2 linked regions of the Drosophila melanogaster genome follow. The protein of the gene in region 2 interacts with the protein of the main gene of each other region in a pairwise test. Each region holds a gene or a part of one and is shown on either strand. Other genes may lie near its edges.

Evidence for each region.
Region 1: the proteins of Bicra (region 2) and ssp6 interact in a two-hybrid assay, tested with the Drosophila melanogaster proteins (one large-scale study listed by BioGRID).

The regions. Positions count from the first base shown.
Region 1 is NT_037436.4:6,075,144-6,082,990, reverse strand, and holds ssp6 (short spindle 6), read right to left. Parts: upstream 6,270-7,847; 5' UTR 5,952-6,269; coding exon 5,646-5,951; intron 4,073-5,645; coding exon 3,710-4,072; intron 3,650-3,709; coding exon 1,718-3,649; 3' UTR 500-1,717; downstream 1-499. Other genes in the region: CG6610 (uncharacterized protein), read right to left, coding at 6,939-6,968, 7,034-7,230, 7,303-7,351.
Region 2 is NT_033777.3:29,061,929-29,066,832, reverse strand, and holds the start of Bicra (BRD4 interacting chromatin remodeling complex associated protein), read right to left. Parts: upstream 3,006-4,904; 5' UTR 2,252-3,005; coding exon 2,221-2,251; intron 1-2,220. Other genes in the region: Cul5 (cullin 5), read left to right, coding at 3,943-3,951, 4,028-4,904.

The sequences.
Region 1 (7,847 bases), on a different chromosome or scaffold from region 2:
GAGTGGAGAACGCTGCGACCGTCGCGTTTGGCTGCACAGTATTGAATTTTTTCGCATTTACATTTTTAACGAGGAGGGTTGGGGGTTGGTATTGATTTTTTTGCCACTTTGACAGCTGCCTGGTGCCAGCGATGGCCAACAGAGGGCGTCGCTGACAGTTGCCAATTTCGCGGGGGATGAACAGCTGACCGGCGAAAAGACGTTACATGTGGAGACTTCCAATGGTAACACTCTACAGGGGTTGTAAAATGACCAATAGGTACGGTAGGTGGCGCCACTTTCGAGCCAATCAGCTGATGAAATTCCCTGGGGTGTTCCACAAGTTTTTATTAACCCATAAAGCCGATTTTTATTAAATAAATTCAATTCTATGTACACCTTATTTTTAGAAAATTTTCGCAGGAATAAAGAATAATTCCTCCTCCTACCAATAATATATCTTGTTCTGTTTCTATTTTTATCTAGGGGTCACACTACATGAACACATTTCTTGAGTTTTATTGCAATACATAAGTTCAATAACATTTACATTTCGCATTACATAAAAGCGTTTTAAATTATATTTGGTTGGTTGCTTGATAAAAATGCGACTAAAATTGTTGCGGTTTTTAGTGCTCTTTCACTATCACAATGAAATAAATTACATTGTTCGGATACAGTATGCAATAAATATATATGCTTAAGTGTGTATATGCTACATGTAAAACAGTATCTAGTCGCATGATAGGTTAACCATATTATATGGCAAATACAGATACATATATAATCCTCTATCTATCATTACAAGACGCCAGATTTTTCTCTCATTTGGAATATGCGCGTGGCTTTTCAGTCTTTCAATAAATCCAAAAATCTAAACGTCAAAGCGTCCTAGTTATATCGCCTATATATTAAGTGAGTTTCACAAACAGAAGATAGCTATAAGTTTAGTTTTTATAGGTCTTAAGGTGTTCTAATTTCTGAATCATCTACTCTTAGAAGTATCTTCTTTTGGGCTTATCTCTGTGTATTGTCCTGCGGTTTTTGGATGCTAAATATTTATCTTACATTTATAAAACTCACTTAACATATTATTGAATAGTTAAGCTACATGTTGATTTTTGTCTGAGTTATATGTTTAAAATTTGGCTCTAGTTACCATTTCAAATGAGTTCGATGTTCGGTTTTCGAAGACGCGAATGGATCAGAATATGAGTGCACTCATGAGCGGTTCAACTAAGTGAATCATGCACAGGTTAGGCGTGTGAGTTGATTTGAATGAGGTAAGTTTGGAATGAGTACTAAATTCTTATCTTTTTTAAGAAGGTTTTTTTCACCATTGACTACATTTGGATACCAAACAAATAATTTTCTACATTTTTTAGTCAAGCTACAAAATATTAAATTATCTATTCCTTAAATACCTAATATAATTTTGTTCAAAAATTACACAACATTGAATATACAGATATCAGTTTAGAAAGAAAATTCTATTTTTATTTTTAAATAATAATTTAATTACCAGACTAATCAAAATGATTGATTCGACTTTTATTCTATTCAATATTTTTTTTCATACTCATTCAATTCTTTCTCATTTAAAATAACATTTAGTTTTAAACCTCTATTAACTGAACACGCCTATCAAACTTCAAAACTATTTGATCATCACCCTCTACCCATGGTGCACTCATATTATTCTTGAGACGGATCTCGTTACGGTCTAGACAACTTTGACCTACAATCTGGTGGCCTCCGAAGTCGTCTGGACATCTCCTGCACCATGCACCTGCTGACTAGTGGTGGAGGTGCCCACATCAGTGGTAGGTCGCGGCAGATGCGAGTAGTATCCCAACTGGCAGGAGTTCTGGTGGGACAGCTTCTGATTTTGACTGAGTTGGTACTGGGCCGCCTTAATGGCAGCCTGTTGCTGAGGCGTCAAGCAATCGCAGGCGGCCAACAGCTCCTCCGTGGACTTGGCCGTAATTGTGGTGGTTGTGGTGGTGGTCAGCTCGCCCACAAACTCGGTGGGCGGTGGGGCATAGTTCTCCACATCGCCGTAAGTGGAGTATCTGCCGTACGGGTTCCTTCGCGGCATCGAGTGACGCTGCTGGGCAATTTGCATTTTTATGGCTGGCTTAACGGCCACAGTGTCAAGGTAACCGTAACCCACATTAAAGCCCGCCTTGTTGGCTAGATTGTCCCAGGATTTTGGTTTCTGGACATAGGCTATAGTGTTGGGATAGATCTGCTGCGGTTGCATTTGTGTGGTGGTCACATGATATCGTTGGTGGTAATCCCCCTGGTGATGATGATGGTGGTGGTGTCCCTGGTGAGTTGGCTGCTGCTGTTGTGGCTGCTGCTCGTAGGACTGCCTGGATTTTGTGGAGTGCTGTCGGGACTGAGCCGTCTCACTTGTGGGATCCCAAAACAAAGTATCCGTACTTATGGATGTGGTATATGAAGCTGTGTCTCCTGTAGCAAACTCACTTGAGGTGCAGGAATGTAAGCTACAGTGGCTGGCTAAGCCGGATGCCAAGTCGAAGTAGCGGGATCGGGTGCTACCACTTTGGGATTGCACCTGGCAGGGATTGTGCATCTGGTGGGGATAGTGGTGGTGGTGCGGAACAGTCTGAATGGGCTGTTGTTGTTGCTGCTGCTGTTGTTGCTGCTGCTGCTGCTGTTGTTGTTGCTGTTGTTGCTGCTGCTGCTCATGGCTATGATGGTGATGATGATGATGGTGGTGATGTCCAGATCCTGCACCCCCGTTGGCATTGGGTGAGGCATGGGATGTGGACTTGGGTCTGACCCTCTGCTCCTTGCTCTCCACCCGTTCCCTGTCACGATGTTTGTGCTTATGCGTGTGCTCCTTATGCTGCCGATGACGTCTTCTTGATGGCACACAATGTGTATCGCAGCACGGACTGGCCAGATCATAGGCATCCAAGCTCACGTTATCCGGCGCCGGAACAGCTGACTTCTCCGCCGACTTCCAGCGAAAGTGACCCAAGCAGGGATTGCACGAGTGTCCCACATGGCAATGCTTGCCCGATGACTTTTCTTTCTCTGGCTTTGGTGGCTTAGCAGGTGGCTTGTGCTTTTCACAGGTGCGAGGAGGTGGTGCGGGTGGCTTCACCGATCCACCCGTGGTGCTGTGATATTGGGTAGGAGCCGTTGTTGTGGGTTGAGTCATCGAATTTGCATCCACAGATTCGGTTTGCTGGAGGACATAGCGCTGTGCCGGCGGCTGGTGATCACTACTGCTCCGCTGAAGACCCAATCCGTCAACGAATTCCTCTGAGCTGCCGTGCGTGGGTCGCAGGACGTAGCGGTATGTGGGATCCAGGTAGTGGTAGGTGAGCATAAATTGAGCGGGAGGAGGTATGATTCCTGGGCCACCGACCCCATGCTGGCGGGCGGCAATATTGGGCACATCCTCGGTGGACAAAGCGGGTCGGTAGAAGCCAGCTTCACCAGCCACCTCTGTGGGTGATACTCCTTCTCCATCACTGGGCGAAGTATTCGCATTGGCCTTCTTACGCGCTGGCAAACTGTGCGTTTTCCACTTGCCCTCCAATAACTCACGCTCTCTGAGGTGTACCCTCTCCAGTTCGTTCATCTTTTGCTGCAACATGCTCTGCAGTTGGATGTAGCGCATGTGGAGATCCACCTGGGGAATCACACGTTTATCAGAAATACGTTTTAGTTTTCTATCCTTTAAATACTTTACCTTCCTCACACAGTCCTCGAAAAGCACTACCATTCTCATCCTGGTGTCGCATTGCTTGATGAACTCGACGATGGTCTTGTGGTCCGCCTTCTCCATATCTTTTCCGTTAATGGAGAGGATTACGTCTCCCTCACGCATGCCAGCTCGATAGGCCGGACCTCCGTACTCCACGTAGTCCACGTATGTGATCATTTCCAGCTCCTCATCCCGTTTGTAGTGGATCCCGTAGCTCTGCAGCGTGAATCCATACGAGTTGTTCTTTTTCTCAACGATTATGGTGCGACGTCTTCGGTCCTCGTCCGGATTGGAGGCCAGATATCGCTCGGATTTGTGGCGCCCAAGGATATGGGTAGAACGGGATAACTGGAATGTCATTAAATATTAAACGTGCATAATATGTAATATTGTACAATAATATGGAATTCCTTTAGCAAGAACGCAATTCTCTATAGCAATTCAAACCACATTGGCCATTGGAGAGCTGTGCTCTCTATCTGTGAAAGGAATGTGTTGATTTGCGGTGAAAGTGAAAAGCTTATATGCTAAACTATCGTTGGCACTTCCGGGTATTTGCACGTCTAGGCAATGTGGCACACCAAATAGCCGCCAGGTGTGGTGGTGCAAACCATCAAAATGATGTTTGCCAAGCCCATTCCTTCGTCCCTACTGTTCTTCCTGCTTTTATTGAAAGCATTTCTATGAATACAGGATGAAGCCCCCAGCAGGCAACACTTTCACTGCCCCCCCGAAAGGAAAGCGGGTTAGATAGGGAAAAGCAAACCAACCCAGAATACAGGTACGGACAAAATAATACCATGCAAGCCATTTCCACGGATTAACAAGTTGGTAGTAGAATAAAACAAAAAACAATATTTGTAAGATAGTCAAGCTTAAAGTTTCGGAAAAGTTCATGGTATAAACAAGTGTACTAATAATATTTTTATATTTATATCGATGACACCTATTTTTAGATACAACATGCTAAGTATAGAGACACAGCACAGTTCTTTCATTAACGCTTTTTTGTGCGGGCGTAATAACTGGCTTGAAAGGCTTTAGAACAGACCTCCCGCCGACTATAATGCCATCGGCAAGGAAGAGCAAATTGTATGGCATTATGTACAGAAATACAGTGCCCGTTTTAAATGAAATTGTAAAGATTTTCATTAAAAAAGAAAACGCGGAGAAAATGAGTTAGAAAACTATAAAAAAAATGGTGCACGAATTCATCGTTTCTGCCTTATGAACGGTTTAATTCATTTGAGTATGTAAGTTTAATTCCATTAATTCTAGTAAAAACTGTGTTTAGGTGTAGTCCTCAAATTAAAGCTGTATTAACTGCATTCATTTTTATATTGTGGCTCATATCGTGACTTTAGTAGAAATTTTGACCGAGCTCCCCATTAATGGTGCTGTAAATATGGCATGCTCGCAAACATGCCCCTTTCATTTAGTGACCCATAAATTAATCCAACTGGTTAATTTTTCAAATTGCCTTGGCCAAAGTCAAGGCCCTTGCAGGGACTAAGCTGCTCGCAGGGTGTACGATATATTTCAATATATGACTATTTCCGGGGCATTGAATTATTAACACTTGATCGACGACGGCGGTTGTTGGCGGCTGTTGAGGTTGCCTGGCGAAGCGTAAACTATGCATAACGACCCGGCTGGTGGGTTAAACAGCTGTGGGGGCAGCAAATGCACTGGGATGGGAGCTAGGTTGCGCAAACCACCCCCAAGTACACCCACTCAACAAGGCAGCAAGCAACCACCATCCATCACACACCACCCAACACCGCCACCACCCACAAGACAAATTCAATTGAGCCAGCAGTGCAGGACCTTGTCGCATTATTATGACTCAGTGTGGGGCACAATTGAATTCAGTTGGAGACGATTCCGACTAGCAGTTGGATACTTGGCCACTTGGACATACCTGCGCATACTCGATTTCCTCGTCGCTGGCATCGAGACTCTTGTGGAACTTGAGCCTGCCCAAGCTGCCGGTGCCATTGACATAGTGCGACGCTTGCTGATGGCTCTGATGATAGAGGTGTTGCTGCTGGGACTGGGAATAGTGCTGGTGGGGATGTGGCTGCTCCTGCTGGCAGGCGGCGGCGATGAGGGAGCCTACAGAGGTGGCATTGGAGGCCGAGATGGACACCGCTGCCGCCGTGGTGGCCGCACTGCTGGCCGCCGTCGCAATGCTTTGGCAGCTGGTGCTCATGGGCTTGCTGGCCATCCTCCACTTATTGATTTCTTCACGCAGTCATAATTACAGGCGGATCATTCGAGCCGCTCAAATGAGACACCGACAGATACAGATACCGAAACACGGGTATCTTTCGCTGCAAAACCGGACAACCTTCACCACTGAAGTTCACACATCGACTGTGGCTGCTGCTAGATGACTGCAATTAGTCATGGCCATTCATAAAGTTCACTCCGAGTTGCGTTTATCAGTGCTATATCGGTTCTGGGTAAAAGTTTTCCATATTCGAGTTCGGTTCGGTTTTGTTGTCGCGTGAGTCTGTTTCCGCTTGGTTTGTTCCACTTCCGTCGAAGCCTGCTGCCGTACTGAACGCTGGAGGTGCCGAACGGAAGCGGGAGAACGCACGCAGAGCAGAGCGGTACTGCGGAGAGTGCACTGCACCCACACGCACGGCCAGAAGGGAAAAGCGGTTAATATTTATGGCACATGTTGACTGCTGTATCGCTGAGACCCAACATTTTGGGGATGGAGCGCATGCGCCTACTTTGCATGGCAGCCAGAGCACAAGTAGCGGTTGAATGTTAACGGAAAGACACTAAATATTTAATGTGAAGTTTGAATTTTTGAAGCTTGGAAGTCATTTTACAGAATTATTAGCGGTCGACCTTTTTCGGTATTCCATTTCAAGTGTATCCGGTCCCTATAAGCATAAAATATGCTTATTTATGTAAAATTAATTCTATTCCAATTGATAATTTAACAATGTTTTGTATATTAGGTAATATTATATAGTGTTTTATTCTGAGATTAGAGGGCAAATAATTTTCATTTCCTAAGCCAAGCGTTTTCAAATTCGTATCTGTTAGGACCAAAAATCTGTTAACATTGCTGTTAATCACTTGACCACTGCTAACTTCTAACATACCTCGAACATTTACATACGACACAATATTATCCACATTAAAACGACCGTTTTGATATTTTACAAATGTATTTATGTTTACAAATGGAACCTTGCTACTCCGCCAGCTCTCCGCCAGGCACCAACTGAAATCAAATTATAAATGAAATTTAATAAACAAACGTATGTAACTTCGAAAAAGAGCACCCACCATTGTGATATTGTTCCCGTTGAGCAGAATCTGATCCAGTTTGGTGATGCGGCGGCCGTCGGGGGTATTTTCATACTCCGTTACGTCGTCCAAGAGCATATTCACAAAGTCATCGAATCCTAAGAGAGTTCCCACCATCTCCTTGTCGTTCTTCATGATAATGTGGATGCGGGAACCGATGCATTTGTCCACCAATTCTGTAGGGTAGTACGGGAAGCCGGCAAAAGTTAGAAACTCTCGATTTGTAGACCTGTAGCAGATTTACGTACCCAATGGCATTAGGGTAGAGATGTTGGAGGGGGGTGGAACGGCAGTCATGTTGTCGTATGATTTGTTTACTATTATTAACAATAATAATTGGAATTGCGCTAAAAACTTTTTAGCAGCGAGGTAAACAATGCGGAATTCTGCGCAAAAACTGGCCACATCAAAAGTGTCAGCGTCAGTGCTGCAAAATCTTGTGGATAGAGTTAGCGTGAATATAGCTAAACGTTTAAAATTAATTAAAACATTTGTTTTCGTTGAAAACTAATTAATTTATTAATTACAAACTCATTAAAACTTTTTTATGACAAACTTATCAAGATTAACTATTTTATCGCAAGAATTTAAAGAACAATTTGTCAACATGAGGGACCTCAAAACACCCACCCAAACAGCCACCACTATTACCCAGATAGTAATGGATATTTGGCATTCAGTGCCGCGGTCCTACCAATTTTACCTCATAATTCAAGATCAGGAGTTATATATCCAAAATCTTAATCTCGCGGCAGTGCTCCCGTATGTTGGCCATCTGTGACGCGGTGCAGTG
Region 2 (4,904 bases):
TTGTCGTCGCAATAATAATTAAACAATGTGAAAATTCAAATAAGAGTCGATTCTAATGGCGCCTAATGGCCCGGAAAATCGATTTCACCTTAAACAGAACTTAATGACTCTTTGTCACGCGTCAACGCGAAGAAGACAGCGCGAAAATCGAAGCAATACCAAAACAAATCGAATCAGATTGTCCGAAACGCCTCCGCCAAATGAATGCCAAGGGTGTATTCCCCCGATCCACTTTCTAAACCGGGTTTAAATGCAAATTCCAGAGCGTTATGCCCCCGGCCGTAATAATAACAATCTATCAGCCGGTAGATGGAAAACGTTTCCAATGTAAACACTGCCAAAACGTCTTTGTATAACCACAATCGTATCGCATGTAAACAGTGTAAATATCGATAACGTTCCGGGTAATGGGTGGAAATAGGGTCAGTGGAGATTAGGAAATGGCGGCAAAACAAGCACTATAGTTAAAAATAATCGTTGTCACTTCTTTATAGCTATTCTTCGTCTTTAATCAATTATGACAGCGACATTTCTCACAAAAAGAAATGCAGCCACTGACCAATTCTTAATGCGAACTATCGTATTTTAATCATATAAAAAAATGTCATATTTCCAGCTTATCATGCTTTGTACTTTTGCCATAGTTTACTAGTTAAAATAAAGCAACAGACTGATTACATTTAATTTAAGTGGAAACGGAAGTCATTCGGGAATAACAAAGATTATTATCGAGTTGGTTTAGCTCGAAGCGAACCGGTTATCAACTGCAATTGGAAATCACGCGAAATTCTATACACCAATTAAGCATGGCTGTACAGTTGATTTTATTCTATGCCTTATTTATTTGACTGTGGCTAATTTCTGGCAATACCCTGCAATTGTTGTAAATGCACTTGCAGTGGAATAGCCACGCTTATTCATTCAATTTGCTGGCACGTTTTGCATTACACACGACAACCCTGACCTACAAAGTGGGAAATAATAAAAAAATCAAGCAAACGCAACTGCTGGCCCCTGTTTTTGTTGCCTTGCATCGAAAATTGTTTGTGCCGTTTGACTCTGGCGCTTGAGCAGAGTTTACATTGAATGTTATAAATAAATTAAAGGAACACAGCGTGGGAGTATGTGTTAGCATTTGTATGTGAGTTGTAGTGTGTGTATGTTAGTGTGTGGAGGGGCCGGACAGTCTGAGTTCCCAAAGCGATGCACGGCTTGCATTCAACATTCATTGCTAATTGCAGCTGATAAGTGGACAGCATTCCTCAACGCCAAGCAGCTACGTCTAAGCCCATTACTATTGTTGTTGTGTGCCAGCATTGCAGTGCAAATTGCGGCCCTAGGATTGGGGGAAATAGATTTCTTTCCAACACTAAATCTAAATGATAGCATAAATATTCGTAAAGCTGGCTTAATAGATTGACGGCTAATTAGCTTAATAGCTGGATTACAATAGTCTCATCCATGTACCACCTATCCTTTCTCATTTGCTGCTTAATGCATTTTCCAAAGCTTACTTTTTACTTATTAAAAAGTAATAATAAATTTGGCTCAATCTTTATGAACTTCCGATAAGTTCCTCAAACAAAACAGACCAAACTTCAAGCGTCTGGCTTTTACCATGGTATTATTCGCCCATAATACTAATTGCCCTGGCGAAAACAAAACACAAACAAACCAAAGTTGGTGATTTTTGATCTGCTGCTTTCTTCCCGGACAACACTCACACATGGACAAACAGTGCATAAAGGCTATAGTTATATGAGGCACATTTACATCTGCTTAAGACAGTGACAGATACTTTCTCTTTTCCCCGCTCGAGAGTGATGAAAGTCGGGTTAAAAATAGAATGGCGAGCGAGTGGAGAGCGGATGGCCGCCCCTTGCATTCATTTATAGTTTTCAGTGATTTGGCTTTTTGATGAAGACTCATAATTACGCTGGTTTTTGTCACTGTACAATGGCCGAATTGTTGGAGTGTCGGAGGTGTTTACAAAGTTCAAGTGTTTGGGAGCAGCTGCGCAGCCAGCGTTTATTTTTAGCACGAAAGAGCAGCGAGAGCGAAGCAGCGAGAAGAGCGGCGAAGAGAACGTGCGCAAGTGCATTTTTAAAATCAGAATCGGATGCTGCACGCTCTTGCTCTTGCTCTCAGTAAGCGTGATTACGAATTTGGATTTTCTATTCGTAGTTTTTTTGTGTGTGTTTTTGATTGGCATTTTCTCACCTGGTCGATCCAATGACTGTCTGCGACTCATTGGCAAAAGATTTGTGCTGCTCTTCTGTTGTGTGGTGTTTTTTTCAGGGGGGTTTTATAGACAATAACGTCGGCGAATGCAAATTATGCCAATTTTGATTGATTCATTGGGTAATTTGTTGCTGCTGGTTGTTGGTTCCTTTTGGCTATTGCTTTTGCTTATTTCCTTTTGCCGCGCTGCTTCTTACTCAATTCTATACACTCAACACACACACACGCGGACATCTTTCGAATTTCATTTCACACGCGACTGTTGACTTTCTTTTTGCCCCTCTCTCACTCTAACGCGCTCTTTCTTTTTCTCACTCTCTGAGAACTCGACAGATGTTGTTGTTGTGGGGCCTTTTTTTGATTTGAGGTGTTGCTGCTTCTGCTTCTATTGCAATTTGTGACGTGCTGTTGTGATTTGTTTGTTGCTGGCTTGTGGTTTGAAAAACGCTTTTTCGACAACACACATATGGGGAGCACGCACACACTCACTCGCCAGCAGCCAGCACACACACACAAACACACACGCACGCACACATTCACTCTCGCGCGTCACGTCAATGAACGCAGCAGCACGTAGTTGTTGTTTTCGTCACTGATTCTCGCCTTGTACGCACATTTTGCTGGCTAATCGAAGCACTTGATCGGCAACTGCTCATCAGAGCCTTGTTTATTTACATTGCAGCACGGGGCTAGTGCACTTTCCCCGATTTTATGCGTTTTTCTCTCGATTCGCACGGCCGTACAACGAGCGCCGCCGCCGCAAACAAAGGGAAATGGTGAATGCTAGAGCTGGAAGAGAAGCCGATGGTTAGTCGATACTATCGATGTATACAGATAACTGGCAGCATCGATGTTTGCCCCGCAACCATCGATTGTATTCACTCTAAAAAATATGGTTTTCTACAAGAATTCAATGTTTATAAATAAAACAGTCACTTTAATAAAAGCTTAGAAAACTCTTTGTGATTTATAAAGATTTAAGCGCGTTGTTTACGATAAGTTATAAAAACTAGGGTTGACACCTGTCTGTGAAAGACTTTTTGAATGTAAATAAACATCAAGACGGCAATAACGTAACGAAATTAAATTGATAAATAACTTTATTTTACTAGTTTAACAAATAAGAATATAAAGAAAACCATACAAGTTTCCGCACTAAAAACAAAATATATTATTTTTAGAACACGAAATAGTAAGCGATATTTTGAAATGCGGAACTGAGTATTTCAGGCACATCTGACAGCCCTGAAACAATGCAGACCAGACATTAGGTCGGGGACGTGTGCTAGACCGAGATGTCTGCTAGTACTGCTTTTGTCTCACTCGCGCACGAAGAGGTAGAGAAGAAAAAAACCAAAACGAAGTGGGCAAACTAGCGAACTTCACAAAACCCTCGACAAGACAACTTTGTATTATTGCCCTATTTCTCCTTGGTTATTATTACCGCGGCTGGGCGAGGTATCCCTTAATGTTCGATTAATAACATTTCCGCAGATTTCCCGCACTTTTGCTGCACTCCGAACTGTTGTTTTATCGACTGCCCGAAATCGATTGGTCGATGGGCGATAAGCCCTACGGGCGAAATTTTACCAACACTGGTCGATAGCCAACTATCGTATCGTATCGCCTAATTACAAAAAATAAATATAAATGAAGTGAAGCGGACGCAGCAACAAAAACAAAGAGATTGCTACGATCAAAATGCTACGGGTAAGTGACCTGATCGGCGATGAAAACGCATATAGAGTTCAGTGTGCACATATACCTTTATCTCCCTGTACGACAGGCAATCGGGAAACGGGACAGGGACATCTTCGAGGAAGTTTGGCCGGACAAAAGGCGAATAGTTTTAAAGCTACTGCGCCAGGACACGGTGTCGCAGCGCGAATGGCAGGACCTATTCTTCGGCGTACACTTCGTGTGCCTGTGGGACGAGAAGGGCGCGGCCAAGATCTACGACTGCCTGCAGCAGGACATCGTTGAGTTTATCGTCCAGGCCCAAAGCCAGGTGCAAGCGCAACGGGGCGAGCAGGCCCTTCTGGCCACCTATATTGTGGAGTGGCGGAAGTTCTTTACACAGTCCAACTACCTGCCGCTGCCTTTCCGCCAGCTGGAGCAGTCGCCCCAGGTGAAGCCCTCCTCCAGTGGCAGCAGCTCCTCCGCATCCGTCTCCGCCTCGGGAGCGAGTACGAGTGCCGCCGCGGCGGCAGCAGCTACTTCCTGCAGCGGCCAGGCTGGAAAGTCAGGAGCCTCCACCTCAGCCGCAGCTGGAGCCTCCACTTCAGCCGCCGCTGCTGCAGCCTCCACATCCGCCTCCACAAGCTCAGCAGCGGCAGCTGCAGCTGCTTCCGGAAGTGGGAGCTCCAGCAGCAGCACCTCTACCTCCAAGAAAAACCCCACGGAGGACAGTCCTGTACGAAAACTAATGCTGGACTCCTGGAACAAGCACATATTCCACGACATCAAGCATCGTCTGCAGGAGTCGGCCATGAAGATTGTGCACGCCGAGCGGAACGGCGATGCCTATGATGCCCAGCTAGTGGTAGGCGTGCGCGAGAGCTATGTGAATCTCTCCTCGAATGCAGAGGACAAACTAGAGATCTACAGGGAGAACTTTGAGATGGCGTACCTTAAGGCCACTGTCGAGTTCTATCGCCTGAAAT